3 linked regions of the Drosophila melanogaster genome follow. The protein of the gene in region 1 interacts with the protein of each later gene in a pairwise test. Each region holds a gene or a part of one and is shown on either strand. Other genes may lie near its edges.

What was found. Proteins that work in one complex are often made in the same cells at the same time.
Region 2: the proteins of CG11672 (region 1) and Nse4 interact in a two-hybrid assay, tested with the Drosophila melanogaster proteins (one large-scale study listed by BioGRID).
Region 3: the proteins of CG11672 (region 1) and Scgalpha interact in a two-hybrid assay, tested with the Drosophila melanogaster proteins (one large-scale study listed by BioGRID).

What each region holds. Positions count from the first base shown.
Region 1 is NT_033777.3:8,288,326-8,292,546, forward strand, and holds CG11672 (uncharacterized protein), read right to left. Parts: upstream 2,254-4,221; 5' UTR 2,224-2,253; coding exon 2,173-2,223; intron 2,111-2,172; coding exon 1,439-2,110; 3' UTR 1,070-1,438; downstream 1-1,069. Other genes in the region: nazo, read left to right, coding at 1-193; CG31464 (uncharacterized protein), read left to right, coding at 2,927-2,974, 3,029-3,679; CG31463 (uncharacterized protein), read left to right, coding at 4,041-4,221.
Region 2 is NT_033779.5:10,436,832-10,441,777, forward strand, and holds Nse4 (Non-SMC element 4), read left to right. Parts: upstream 1-2,608; 5' UTR 2,609-2,697; coding exon 2,698-2,788; intron 2,789-2,839; coding exon 2,840-3,057; intron 3,058-3,113; coding exon 3,114-3,281; intron 3,282-3,344; coding exon 3,345-3,674; intron 3,675-3,729; coding exon 3,730-3,795; 3' UTR 3,796-4,216; downstream 4,217-4,946. Other genes in the region: holn1 (hole-in-one), read left to right, coding at 1-338; STUB1 (STIP1 homology and U-box containing protein 1), read left to right, coding at 1,008-1,130, 1,210-1,408, 1,470-1,611, 1,760-1,865, 1,925-1,981, 2,051-2,293.
Region 3 is NT_033779.5:8,301,029-8,306,106, reverse strand, and holds Scgalpha (sarcoglycan alpha), read right to left. Parts: upstream 2,679-5,078; 5' UTR 2,567-2,678; coding exon 2,007-2,566; intron 1,935-2,006; coding exon 1,530-1,934; intron 1,446-1,529; coding exon 1,335-1,445; intron 1,264-1,334; coding exon 1,120-1,263; intron 1,056-1,119; coding exon 944-1,055; coding exon of another isoform or gene 914-943; 3' UTR 731-913; downstream 1-730. Other genes in the region: CG7840 (uncharacterized protein), read right to left, coding at 1-422; wol (wollknaeuel), read left to right, coding at 3,284-3,349, 3,409-3,583, 3,775-4,171, 4,228-4,570.

The DNA of each region.
Region 1 (4,221 bases):
TTTGAACGATTTGACGGAGAGTCAGCGTCGAGAACTGGAGCAGCACGTGATCAGGGCCATATCCGAAGTTAGAAATGTACGCGTTCGAGATGTCGCAAGACTAATACTAAATAACCGGCATGTGCAAGAGGTTGCACTCGAAGCAGTCAAGTCCTATATCACTGATCGTATGGGAATGACCATCGTTGATTAGGCATTAATAGAAATATTTTTTAAACTATATTTCTCGATGATTAATGCTATAACACAGAATTTTGCCTGCAACATAAATAAATTGTTGGCGCACTGAATGATTTTATTTTAAAATCTATAGTAAAAACCATTTCAGCTTATAATTTAATAGTCAGTGACTAGCCTTTTCGATGTGCCAGATGTAAAAAGATTGTTTTGCTCAGAGCTCGGCTTTCAATAGACAAGAGTCGCGCGATCTACGTCATCAAAATCCGTCAGATGTCTGGAGGAGCTGAACAGATGTTGGAGTAGGCGGAATTTGTGCAGCTACACTACCAAGGCGATCATCAGCAGGGCAACAACTGTTACAAGCAGTAAAAATAAGATAAAATTCAGAGACTCTTAGTGAAATTGCGGCAAGAGCCGAAATAAAGAGTCGTAGAAATTTCGTTGCTGCACTGTGAACGACGAGAGAGATGTGTGATGCGATGCTTTGGTGTATCTCACGGATGCACAGATACTCGCTTCGGATATTCGCTCAGTGTGCGGTAGGCAGGTCAAAATAATTTTGCTTACTGCGGAAGCGAGAGGAAGAGGAAAAAAACTGGCTGATCTCGATCTCGATCTCCGTCTCTATCTCTTTCTAGGGCCAGCTGTCGCCCATTTGGATCGGATCCGTATGCTACTATATCTTATATCGTGTGGCTGCCACGTGTCGTGGGCAAGTCCATTGGGCAATTGGTCAGTTTAGCCGAACAATGGCCAATTAGTATGCATGCGACTTTGAAAAGTGAACTTGCGATTAGCCACAAAGTTGCCCAATATACATATGTACATATGTATATATATGCAATTACAGAGCAACCTCTCTAAGTCGAATCAAACTGAAATGAGATCTTGATACTAAGTAGTAATTTACTTCACTATTTATTGATCATTTTAAAATGTGTAAATTCCTTGGTTTAACACACGCCTCTTAGCGTTTTATAAGAACATAGTGATTTGAAATTGATTTTATTTCAATTCCAAGCCAGACTTTAAAAAGGCTTCACTGTGCCTGCAAATATGCTGATAGCTGTACCAGATCGACTGCAGCAGCTGTAAAATCAATCAAAAACTTGTCAAATAAATGTCATGCATAAGCAATAAGTGAACAGGATGTGGCGAGTCCTCGGCCCCTGTCATCTTGCGGGTGCATAAATTTGCCATTGGCTGTTTTTGCCTGGGTTCTCTCTTAGGACTATTGCTTACGGGAAGGGTCGGTCCACTATGATTGCCGGCACTGATCCTGCTCCTCGCGCAGATAGTCGCCGATGTGCTGCACCACCATGGCACTGCACAGCTGAGCCTGCACCACTTGATCCTCGGCGGTCTGGTGGGTCTGCACCAGGATTAGGGATGCATTGTGCATGGATTGGGCCATCCCCAGATTGATTTCCGCCATCGCGTTAATGAAACAGACACTTCCGCCAGCTGAAGCTAGAGGATTAAGCGGGGAAGCCCCCAGCAATTGGCACTTGGCCGGCAAGTGGGCAATCTGCTGTACGAATTCCTGTACTCTGGCCAAAGCCAGTTGACTCTCCAGACGGAAGTCTTCCAAAAGGCTTCCCAAGTCTTCCGTACACCCACCCAGCTGATGGGTCACATTTTCATTGAGCTCATCCAGGCTCCAGGCTGGGTTGCAATCGGGATTGGACACCACTAACTGGTTTGTCTCATAGATCACATCACTTAGTTCGGCCATAGCATTGGCGGTCAGGACCTCAATGTTACCGGCAATATTTTGCCGAGTGCGATTTATTTTCTCCTCCAACTGAATGGAGGTGTCGTCGCTGACACTTACGGCAATCTCTGCCAGATTGTCCACAACCATGGTAACAGGTCCATAGTTTGTAGTCTCTGTCTCCATCTTTGTTTCATAGCCGACTTCTTGGCAGTCCTGAAATAAAGGAGCATATGAATTTGAAAAGTACTATAAATGGAAAGTTACTATTAACTCACTGCCAAAGTCAGCAAAAGCAGAGCAAGTACTCCCAGAGTTTGACTCATCATCTTTCTGTTATATTTCCTAGTGCGACTGGCCCTACACTTGACTTCTTATATATGTCAAGAGATCCAGTGTCACGATAAGAGTGTGTCTCATAGCAATCACTACGAAACACAATTTGAGCATTAACTTGATGAACTGAGATGATGTTTTAGTACATGAACTTGGTATACTATTCAAAGTATTCTATTTGGTCATCGTATTTTTCGTAAATTTTCGTAATTTCTTTTTGTAAATTTCTCACCTTCGTTGAATAATGGAGGGATCAATTATACTTTTATTTGTAAAAGGGGAGATATTTACAGTTCAAGTTTGCTAAAGAAAGCTGAGGTTGATGACTAACTTGAAGCATATAGTCGTTACACAGTCATCATGCGATAAGAATCTTTCTTATAAACATTATAAGACACAAATGAGCCATTTGTCTAATTCAGAACTTAATTTAAGTTTTGTTCGGAACTTAAATACCCTAAAGTTTCATATTGATCACATATGACATGGGTATTTTTAGCAACTTACGCTGTTAAATTTTTCGGTATCCCAATATTTTCTTTATAAACAATAACAATTTTTGTTAAAGCGTTAAAACTCTTTCCCAAAAAAGAATTTAATTCTTAGTCTTAGTTAATTAAGGCAACCTTTGGCGATCTATAAATAAAAGGTATGGTATCTTCAATTTTTCGGGAATCAATTCGATTTAGTTTCAAGATGACAACAGTACGGGTGTCACTGCTTTTACTTCAGTCGCTTCTTTGTGTATGAAATAGCATTATTTGTGTAAAGTATAATATTAAAGAAAAGATCTTACAGGTGCATGGCCACTTTCAAAGAATTTGGGGACAAAATGGACCACTCTATGAGTCCACAAAGCAGCTTATAGCCAGCCAAAGCTCCAGTGCAGCCAGGATCTGGAACGTCACCCAACAGGCCCTCGATCAGAAGTTGGAGTATCTTCAAGAAGCCAAGGACACACTGGATGACCATCAGCAAGTGGTTAGTGGACGCTTGGAGATGTTTTTTGGAAGCCAGTACAGCGATGAGTGGCGGGCATGCTCAAAGAAGTACGAACTCCAGGTGGCACACTTCAATCGAGAGCTGGTGGACAAGTACAGTATCTGCAGGAATTCTCTGGACCACATCATGGATCATTTTCAGGAGGAAATCGTGCTGGAGGCTAATTTTCTGAGTAAGGCTTCGCGGGAGATCAGTGAGTTGTCAAACACCTGCAGAATCTGGCAGCTTAAGCAGTCTGGTTTCAATCACGCCGGAGTTTTATTATGCACTGTCGCTGGAATCGGGAGGATCAATCAGCGGATGATCAGCAGTCTGGAGCTGTGCGATGCAATTGTGCTGGAGATGTCCTTGGAAGACCTGGACACACCAAGTTGCCTCTTCTACCATCATCTGAAGATGGATTTCGATGACCTCTTTACGCAGATTGAGTCGTGTGCGATAAACTAGAAAGAATGTAATAAAGTCAAATGCACTATTAACTGTGGTCTGGTGTCGACTTGAAAATATTAATTACTTACATCAACTTTTACCTAATATTTATGAGCATAGTTATCTTTAATCGTTATCAGTTCGACCATTCATAAAAAGCCAAATAGAAATTTAAATTTTCTCTCGAAAAACATTGCCCCGTGGTGGTTTATATATAGCGTAATATTGGCGATAAGCCGGATAAGCCTAATCAACCTGCGCCACTTAAGAAAAACCAAGTGTGGTATCTTCGATAGTGTTTTACGAGCCATACTTCTTCCGATAATGAAGCTGGTCAAAATCCCTCCCTCAGTTGTACTGAAACAGTTGCCCGGGCAAAATGATTGGAAAAGCATTGCTTCTGCTGGGCTGTGTGCTGCTCTTCGCTTTTGGTGAAGCCAACCAGGAACTGGAGACTCTGCTGCAGAAGCAACAGGTGGACTTGCAGTTGTCTGGCGAGGAAGTGGCTGCTTTGCGTCCACTGTACCTAGAGTTTCAGGCGCAGTACAACTATCTGTACA
Region 2 (4,946 bases), on another chromosome or scaffold:
AAAGCATCAAGGCCAAGATCGCCGATTTGCCAGGAACGAGCAAACCTAAAGTAGCCGATGATATTGATATGTATGCAGATGATTTCGAAACGAAAGAATTGGAGCGCTCTAAGACATCGTCGAGTGATAGCTCCAAACCAACGACGACTACCTCAGAGGTGACCTGGGAGTTTAAATGGTCGCAGGATGAGACTGATATCCAGGGACCCTTTTCCACGGAGAAAATGTTGAAATGGTCCCAGGAGAACTACTTTAAAAACGGAGTCTATGTGCGAAAGTGCGGCGAAAACACAAATTTCTATACAAGCAACCGCATAGATTTCGATTTGTACTTGTAGGCCTTAGTTAACAAATGTTAAATTCTTTGGGTTTTAACATGTTTTCTGCAAATACTTTGTTCTATAATTGTATACTGTATACTTTACAAGAGGTTTCAATTAGTTTGCACTTGGTTTGGACTTAAAATAAAATTCATATTCATATTGATTCTGTCGGCTCTTAAATTTGGTCAGATATACCAAATTATGTATCCGAGTTACTTGCGCTAGTGACGAATAGCGAAAGATTCTTCTATTAGACCCACTAGTTCAGTAAGAGATATCTGATAGTCGAGAAACTCGAAAATGGCACTGTTGTTTTTGAAATGTGCAAACGATAGTGTGGCAAAAGTATCGTTTGGGCGGTGATAGTGCAATCGATGAATGTGCAGCTTTAATTTAAGCTTGTGAGTCTTGGCAACTCTAGAAACACATCGATTAACGTAGCTGAAAATTGTTTTATGTTTAATTAAATACAGGCGAATAGCTCAAGATCTTTTTGGTGTTATGAGCGTTCAAAAGTCACTACCGTTTCCCACTTAATACTTTGTTAACTGTTAAGTTCGTGCAGCAGTTCCCCAATTCTTGCAGAGGAAACAAATTTACGAGTGCTTCGGTGTTGTTGGACACACACTCACTTTTCATCGGTGGAAAATCAAATTTGGGACCAGGCGCAGAAGATTCGTCAGGATGACGACCAAGCACATCTATTCCACGACCAATTTATCAGATCTGCAATTAAAGGAGCAGGGAAACTGCTTGTTTGCAGCCCGAAAATATGACGACGCAATAAATTGCTACTCAAAGGCCATCGTAGGTGTCTCACATATTTTTGTTATTGTGATGTGTATTTTGTTGTTTACATGTGCACTATGCTCCATATAATATGTAGATAAAGAACCCCACAAACGCCACATACTTCACAAACCGAGCCCTCTGCAACCTGAAACTGAAGAGATGGGAACTGTGCTGCCAGGATAGTCGGCGCGCCCTCGACATCGATGGGAATCTGTTGAAGGGTCACTTCTTCCTGGGCCAAGGACTCATGGAAATCGACAACTTTGACGAGGCTATAAAGCACCTTCAACGGGGTTAGATAATACCTGACCTTTGATGTTCTCTACACTAACTAACCATATATGAAACTTATAGCATACGATCTGTCCAAGGAGCAGAAGCAAAACTTTGGGGATGATATTACACTACAGTTGCGACTAGCTCGCAAAAAGCGCTGGAATGTTATGGAGGAGAAGCGAATACAGCAGGAAATCGAGCTGCAAAGCTATTTAAATGGGTAAGATGTTATTCGAATTCTCTAGATGCCTTTTGCAAACTAAATTTAGTCACCGCACGACGATATCGAGGCAATTGTTGTCCTCATGTGATAGAATATATATTAAAAAAAGCGAAATTTGTGCAAAACCTAAATATTTATGTTTCAGTCTAATAAAAGGGGACATGGAAAGCCGTTTGGCCAATTTAAAGCTGAATGGAAATGTACACGATGAGCAGCTGAAAGACAAGCAACAGGAAATTGAGCAAGAATGCGTAAGTTGGACTTTAACCAGAATATTTAGCGGAGTTGACAATCTAATTTTACTTTTTAGGATGACCATATTAAGGAACTTAACAATATATTTTCTAAGGTTGACGAACGTCGAAAGGTAAGAAACTAAAGGAAAAATAACCAATATTAAAAATATTGTTCTAATATTGTTATTTACATATTACAGAAACGTGAAGTTCCCGATTTTCTATGTGGCAAAATAAGTTTTGAAATATTAACAGACCCTGTGATAACTCCATCTGGAATTACGTATGAACGAAAAGATATAGAAGAACACTTGCAGCGGGTTGGACATTTCGATCCTGTGACACGCGTTAAGCTCACTCAGGATCAACTAATACCAAATTTTTCAATGAAGGAAGTGGTTGACTCTTTTATTGCCGAGAATGAATGGTCTTTAGATTATTAAGTTACTTATTAGTTGGCATTGTCATTGTAATTGATTAGATGTTAGAACCCAGTTCCCATTGTCTAAAAACCAGATAAGTGATAATAAATGTGGATCTGCAATTGAGATTTATATTGTAAATGGATAAATTGTAATTATTAATAAATTAAACAGCATAATGTTCAAAATATAAATAAAAAAGCTTTTGCACGATATCGATAGAGAGTTAGCGGTAGTGTGAAAACAATATAGTTTCGATCACCCGTTCCAGTTAGTCAAAAAGTTGGTGATATCTTGACCAAACAAATTATCGATATACAGCTGCTTACAGATTTGCAGAAATCATTTTCAAAGAAATTTGTTTATGTGAATTCACAATTGGATTAACTTCGCTCTTCTTTGTTTAGTATTTATTTAACAATAATATGGATTCGTCTGAAAGCCAATCGCAAATGGATGACCAAGATGCTCGCATACTGCGTCTGCAAAATCTGATCGAAAAGAATATTGAGATAGGTAAGTTAAATCATAAATTACTAATATCTGAAATAACTATATGAATTGCAGAGCAACAAATCGAAAACAACACCATCGGAGAGTCTATCACGGCCATAGAGGAAATCATTCAGACAGCCAACGATATCAGCAAGGGACATGAAGACCGCCGTACAAACTCCACGGAACTTGTCCTGGACACGGAGCTACTGCGTCGCAATTTCGAAGTTGTGGGAAAAGCTATCCAACATAACACCAACGTCACGGATCGAATGGTGGCCACGGCGATCGTAGGTGCACTGTGTACTTTATTTATGCCTGATCGTAATGTTTGATCCTATTACAGAACGATTTGGTTTTCAAAGAGAGCGAAGAAGATTGGGATGCTCTTTGTTCATTGGCTATTCAGTTCGGAAGACCACTCTTCACCAATGATAGCATGCTGCCCTTCATAGATGTTACTCCAAAGGTGGTGGTTCAAAAGCAACGTGCTCCTCGCAAAACGAAATCTCAAGTAAGTCATTTGTTAAACAATTTCTCACAGTAATATTTGTTCATATTATTATGGATCTTGTAGGTAGATGAGAAGCGTCCAGAAAAGAGTGACCAATTGGAACGCAAGGACGAAGGAGCAGCGTCCGTAACCCACATGCTGAAGCAAATAAGACAAATATATCGAGATGGCAATCAAGAGCCGATTCCGTACTTTAAACTGATTTGCAATCCAAACAATTTTATGGACACCGTTCAGAACGCTTTGCAACTGTCGTTTCTTGTCAAGGAGAACTATATTTCCATCGAAAATGGCGAGGATGGTTTGCCATTGGTTCGCGTTGTGAATTCCAAATCGGTCGAAGGAAACGCACCGTCCCAGGCTATTTGTTCCATCGATGTTACCTTTTGTGAGGTTCGTATTTCAATTATTGTTTAAAGCATTATAATTGATATGATTTAAATTACAGAAAATGGTAAAGCACTACAACCTACATGAGCCAATGTTAAAAAGACTTCCGGTTAGTGAGAAATAGATATATCACTTAGTTCATATTAATAGTTTATATTGTTATTAATAAAACACATAGAACGTTTAAAGTTACTCATGTACGGCATAAATAATCGGGTAATTGAAAGTGTTCTTTCCCCCAAACATTAAGTAATTAACGTAATATCAACACAAAATCATTAAATGAATTTTATTACTCAAGCAGTTACTTCATAGTTCAAACACTTCCCCCAATATTTTACTACGAATCCGCCCCTGCCATTATGTCAATTTTTATGACCGCCTACAAATTGTGAAATATGTAGAAGGGGCACTTGTGAAGTTATAGCAATATAAAATGTATGTATGTTATATTTAGGAACTAAATATTAGTTAAGTTGTTTACTTATAACTTTAACCAGTTTCGGATTATGTTCTTAATCCGTTTTTCCTGGTCTCAATGGGTGGCATACCAAGAATTAAACAAATAAATTACTTTGCAGAGTGGAATAATGAATGAATGAATGATTGGTCCATTAATTAAAAAATCACTCCTGTGCTCGAAATTAGTGCACTTTCCGTTGCACAGCGGCTTTTAATTGAATTCCGTTAACTTAATTCCACAAAGAGAAATTAAGATTAATTAAGATTTATTGCACAATGAAGCTTAGGGTTAATTGCATCTTTGCGGTCGACGGAGTTTAAAAGGCTTTCTATGGAGTATAGCCTTTTCTAAGAGATCAGTGCTTCTATTCAAACTGGATGTAGTAGATCAAGTTACTCGATGCACTATTGTCTGAGATTTTGGGGCTTTCAACTTCATGTGGGCGAAGAGAGTTGACCCAAGTGCAGGAAACTAAGCTAATGTGTAATTATATATAAAACCAAAATGAAGATTTATTGCTCCATATCAGCATAGCAACAAACGACCCAATTAATAGCCACCCAATCTTCAAAATACAAAATTAATGATGCACAAGCGCAGTTTCAATAAGTTGCCAAGTTGGGTTTGTCTTAGTAAATTCCATTGAAGAATTCTACTTCTATGAAAAACTTAGTAAATGCATTATGCTACTATGAGTTTGAGCAAAGAGAAAATAGTTTTTTTTTAACTGGAAAATTATTGAAAAAATGTATTGTTTTTATGCATATGCTGCAATATGTTTTTATTTCAAAAAAACAATTTAGCTTTAAATT
Region 3 (5,078 bases), on another chromosome or scaffold:
GCGCCCACACAGGCAGTCGTTGAGTCGATCTCCACCTTCCGGTGACTACGTCCGCCGCCCATGATGTCCAGGAATTGGAGTACATATTCGGGCGCCTCCTTTTGCTCCCGAACGGTTGAAACGAGCACATAAAATGCCAGCCAGCTCCAGAACAGGGCAAATGTGTAGAAGTGCTTGAACCAGGACTTCGGAACCTCCAGCCAGGCCACCAAAGGATCCGTTTCACCCTTGAAACTGTGCTTGCCATACCGAAAGGACTGGCGTATGCTATTGGGCAGGTACTTCTCCACGAAAGTCATCAGTCCGCCAAAGAACACGATCGTGGCGATGAAGGTGCCGAACATCATTTGCAGCAGGTTGATTTTGTACCGGTCAAGTAGATTTTCGAGGACCTCAAGGATCCCATTTTCGGGTGGCGCCATTGCGAAATGATTCGGCACTATGCAGCCCGCAAAAACTGTAAAAACTTTCTCCGAAAAACGAAAACTTGCGGAACATTCATTCTAGAGCTGGAAATAAGAACGATTTTACAACCGATACATCGATACGTTGGCTCAAACTGAAATATCGATTTTATGCATAAAAACTGGTTTCAATTGAATTTAAAATTAGGCGCGTAAAGAATTTAGTACTTCCTTTTTATAAAAGAAAAGTGTTTGAATTCGACTTTAGCAGAGATGAGTAGGTCATAAAATAGTTAAAACGAAAGACTTCTAAAATATTATGCTTTATTTGATTGCCTTTATTCTTAAATGGCAAACTAATTGGCTAGTTTCATGCTTGCATATCTATATAAAATGATAATTACGATATGGTTTGTCTAGTTCGGCAGGTGTGAGTATTTATGCAATTGATATAACGCTCCTCCTCGATATTGCTTATTGAAATTGTATGCGCTCGAATCCAACACTCCTCAGCAGTAGAGCACTCGGGGAGATGTTTGTCAAATGTCCACTCCATTTCGACCCAAAGTACCGCCCTTATATGGCGGTGGCTTGGGACGAGCATAAATGCTGGAGTTTCCGCAGTCCAACTGGTAAAAGCTGTTGTTGGGACTACAATAGATAAATAGATATTTGAATATGAGAGTTCTGAATATGAATAGCTAGACAGCTCCACCTCTGAGATCTCATGCTAGTGTTGTCCAGTAGAAAATTGGGATCCTTGAGGCTTTTCAATGTTGTTATGGGCTGATTGGATTTGCTATCCGAACACTGAACCATCTGCACAGTGGATGCCATGGGATAATCCGAATTGGAAGAGCTGTAAGCGATACCAATCATATACAATCACTGCTTTCAATGAGCAAATAGGAAAATAAGAAGTGAAATCACCTCTCAGAACCATCATCCGCACCAGAATCGCTTGACGCGCTTTGCGGCGCACAGGACTCTTCGCAGATGTGGAAAATGTTGGCAAAGAAAAACTCAGAATGCGGATCGTAACTGAAGTAAACGAAAGATAAAAACAATTAAAGAAAATATAAAATGAAGAAATCAATTTCGTAATTTCCCAGTTGGGAAACTCACAACTTCTCGTGCTGGAAACACAAAACAGCTGATAGCATTCCGATTAAAATGGCAAAAATCATGCCCGGAATGGCAAAGGCAAAGGCGAATTCATCGATGTAATTGCGTTCGGGCACATCCTCCCTGGCGATTCCCATCCAGCGATCCTCTTGCCTCTGATTCAGATCATCGGGCATCTGCTGCTCGTTCTGCTTGCCACTGTGGAAGAGGATTTCCGTTGGTGATTCCATGCCCACCATTCGAAAGGCGCACCAGTCCAGTTTGAAGCCAACATTCTCAAAGATTTTCTGCACGGATGTGCGTTTGTAGGTGCAAGATGGCAACTTGTACAGTGGTCTCACTTCCTCCTGGAGTTCCTGCAGCCGCGGTGAGAACTGGGCAAAGCTGCCCACGTGGACAATGACTCTGCAATGAAATATGAAATGAATATAATAAGATAAGAGATTGTTATGGATAACTAAATTATAACTAGATTACCCCTCGCGCTGCTGCGGTCGCAGTGGAAGTCGTCCGCCCATATTCACAGCTGACTCCATGAAGACCACACTCAAGTCCTCCTTGCTATTTGGCCAAAGATCGTTGCGGAATATATTTCGTAGGTTCTCCCTTCTGCCGGGATCCATTAGGTGCACCCAATTCAGATTGTTTATTTTCATCTGCACGACATTGGGTGTGGGAAACTTGTGGGCGACAAACATTGTGACCACAACGCGTCGCGTTTCGTAATTCTGGCGATTAAGGGCGACCACATCCAGACTTAGATCCTTGCCAGCCGACGATGCTGGAGGAGTTCCGTAGAGGAAGCCGGCATGGTATTCATGGCTATACATATATCGCATCCAACTGGGCAAATCGGGATAATTCTTCAGCGAGGGTCTGTAGCGAAATTGCTGGCTGATCACCTGGTGTGTCCAGTTAAAGAGTTGCGGTTCGATTTTGTAGGTGAAGAGTTCTCCAACATTTGCCTGCAACTTTAGACCCTGAACTTCGTTGCAGATTAAAGCTAATACGACCACTATTAAGTTTAAAAACTTCATTTTGTATTTTATGTAGTTTTTTTTTTACGATTCACAAGCACATTTTAATTGACTATAAACAAATTGTTATTCCGCCCAGCGCAGAGGCGATGAAAAATTCCAATGGTGTGTATCTGAATGGGAGAGGACTACGTATATTCTCAGAACTTGTTGTTTTTGAATTTCAAAGAGCGCGCATGCGTGTTTCGATCCTTAAGCAGAGATATTTGTGACTAAGGTCAGTTTTTAATAGTATTTATAGGTTAGAATTGACTAAAATATATAGAGTAACTTATGTTAACATAAAAAAATCAATCAGAAAATGTGTTTTATAAAGTCTTGTACCATGAGTCCTATATCATATCGTAGTTTTTGATTTATTATTTAAAACTACATACTTAACCTATATCTACTTAATATTCGCAAGCATAAGAAAGTTTATAACCATTTTAAATTGCCTTTTGTTATATATTTTATTTTAATTCAAAATCATAGAATTCTTACTGCGATAGACCATTAATCGATATCTGCGGTGACTGTGAATGAGTCACTGTTTTGCGGAGAAGTGTCATCCCTAAATTGAGTTGACAACCCTAATCAGCTGCGGCATTTCGGTCTAAAATTCTTGGAATTAAATACGTGGCTCTGTTTATCTCGCACAAATTGGAGAAGTAATGTCTGCTGGCAGGTAGCAGGCGCACCTGTTCATACAAACTAGTTGCTAAAAAAAGCCCTACAATGTGGACCTGCCTCTGCCAGCTCTGTTTCTATCTACTCTCGACGCTTGCAGTCGCTGCGCTGTCGGTCAGATCTTGAATACATTCGCCTATCTTTCTTATTTTTACTGATAATCCATCGTTTAGATTGCGGCTCTGGTGCTCTACAAGACGAAGCCCTATCCCAACATCAAGCGGCACAAGGATGAGGAGACCTTCCTGGACCCGCACACCATTAAAACAGTGACTTTTCCCAGTCTCGAGGACTCGCCAAGTTTGGAGCTCAGTGTCATCGTACCAGCTTACAATGAGGAGCAGCGCTGTATGTTGCTTATTTGTTTTTGTTTTGGTGAATCACAGTCAACATTTTATCTATGCCCATTTGTGATTGATTGTCTGGCACCCGAATTTATCTACAGAAACTTCATTACACTAACATGTTACTTTAAGTTACTTTCCCCAAAAGCTATTCGATTTTCTTGTTCTCATTTGTGTGTGTTTATACTCGTTTAGTGCCTTCTATGCTGGACGAGTGCTTGGCCTTTCTGGAACAGAAATCTGCTGGCACTCCCAATTTCACATACGAGGTCATCGTGGTCAGTGACGGCAGTCAGGATGCCACCGTATCCGTCGCCTTGGGTTACTCGAAAAAGCACGGAGCAGAAAAGGTACGCGTGCTGGAACTCATCGAAAATCGTGGGAAAGGAGGTGCCGTTCGCATGGGTATGCTAAGTGCACGGGGTCGTAATCTGCTCTTCGCTGATGCGGATGGAGCCACCAAGTTTCCCGACTACGATAAACTGGAGGTGGCCCTCAAGCAATTAGCTCCCGAATGGCGAGACGATGGCATTGCCATTGGATCGAGAGCACATCTGGAGAACGATGCGATTGCAACAAGGAGTTTCTTCAGGTAAGATAAAATCCTACATTTATTAGCTGACCAAATACTGATCTGCGTTGCCACAGAACAATTTTGATGCACGGCTTTCATTTCCTCGTCTGGCTGTTTGCCGTGCGCTCCATTCGCGATACCCAGTGTGGCTTCAAGCTGTTCACCCGAACGACGGCCAGGAAACTCTTCACCAGTCTGCATGTGGAGCGCTGGGCCTTTGATGTTGAGCTGCTGTACCTCGCTGAGAATTTGAAGCTACCAATGTCCGAGGTTGCCGTTCGATGGACGGAGATCGATGGTTCGAAACTGACACCATTTTGGTCGTGGCTGCAAATGGGCAGGGATTTGTTCATGATCTGGGTGCGATATTTGGTGGGCGCCTGGCGGATTGCCTCCATACAGAAGAAGGAAAAGTGATGTGGACTTGGAGGGCATCTCATTCCCAATATTAACTAGCATTTTGTGTCGAACTTACTCCGCTGTCGTGCATTACCAAAACTCTTTTAACTCTAAACTCTATTTTTGTAGGCCTGATAAAGTGTAACGAATTCTAGCTAGTTAAGTACTTAAGTACAGTATTTTTTCAAATAAAAAATAATTGATTTGAATAAAATTGCGCGGCAATGGTTCTAAATTGTTAGTAATCTAAAAAAAGTAACTATACCAAGTCGTCTTCCTTTAGTATATTGCGCTTTAAATATATAAAGTTTCGTCACATTGCTTGTTTAATTTTGGAACGAAGAAATAATTAAAATCACTAGTTATTTTTTTGAAATATTGAAATACGCGGGAAAATAAAATAAAAGGCAGTATGTGTGGTATTTTGTATTCTTCTGGTATTTTAAGAGTAGTTATTTTCATATCGGTGTATCTCCCCACTCGAAGTGCGGTCACACTGCAAAGAAGTTGCGGCGGCGCGTTTAGT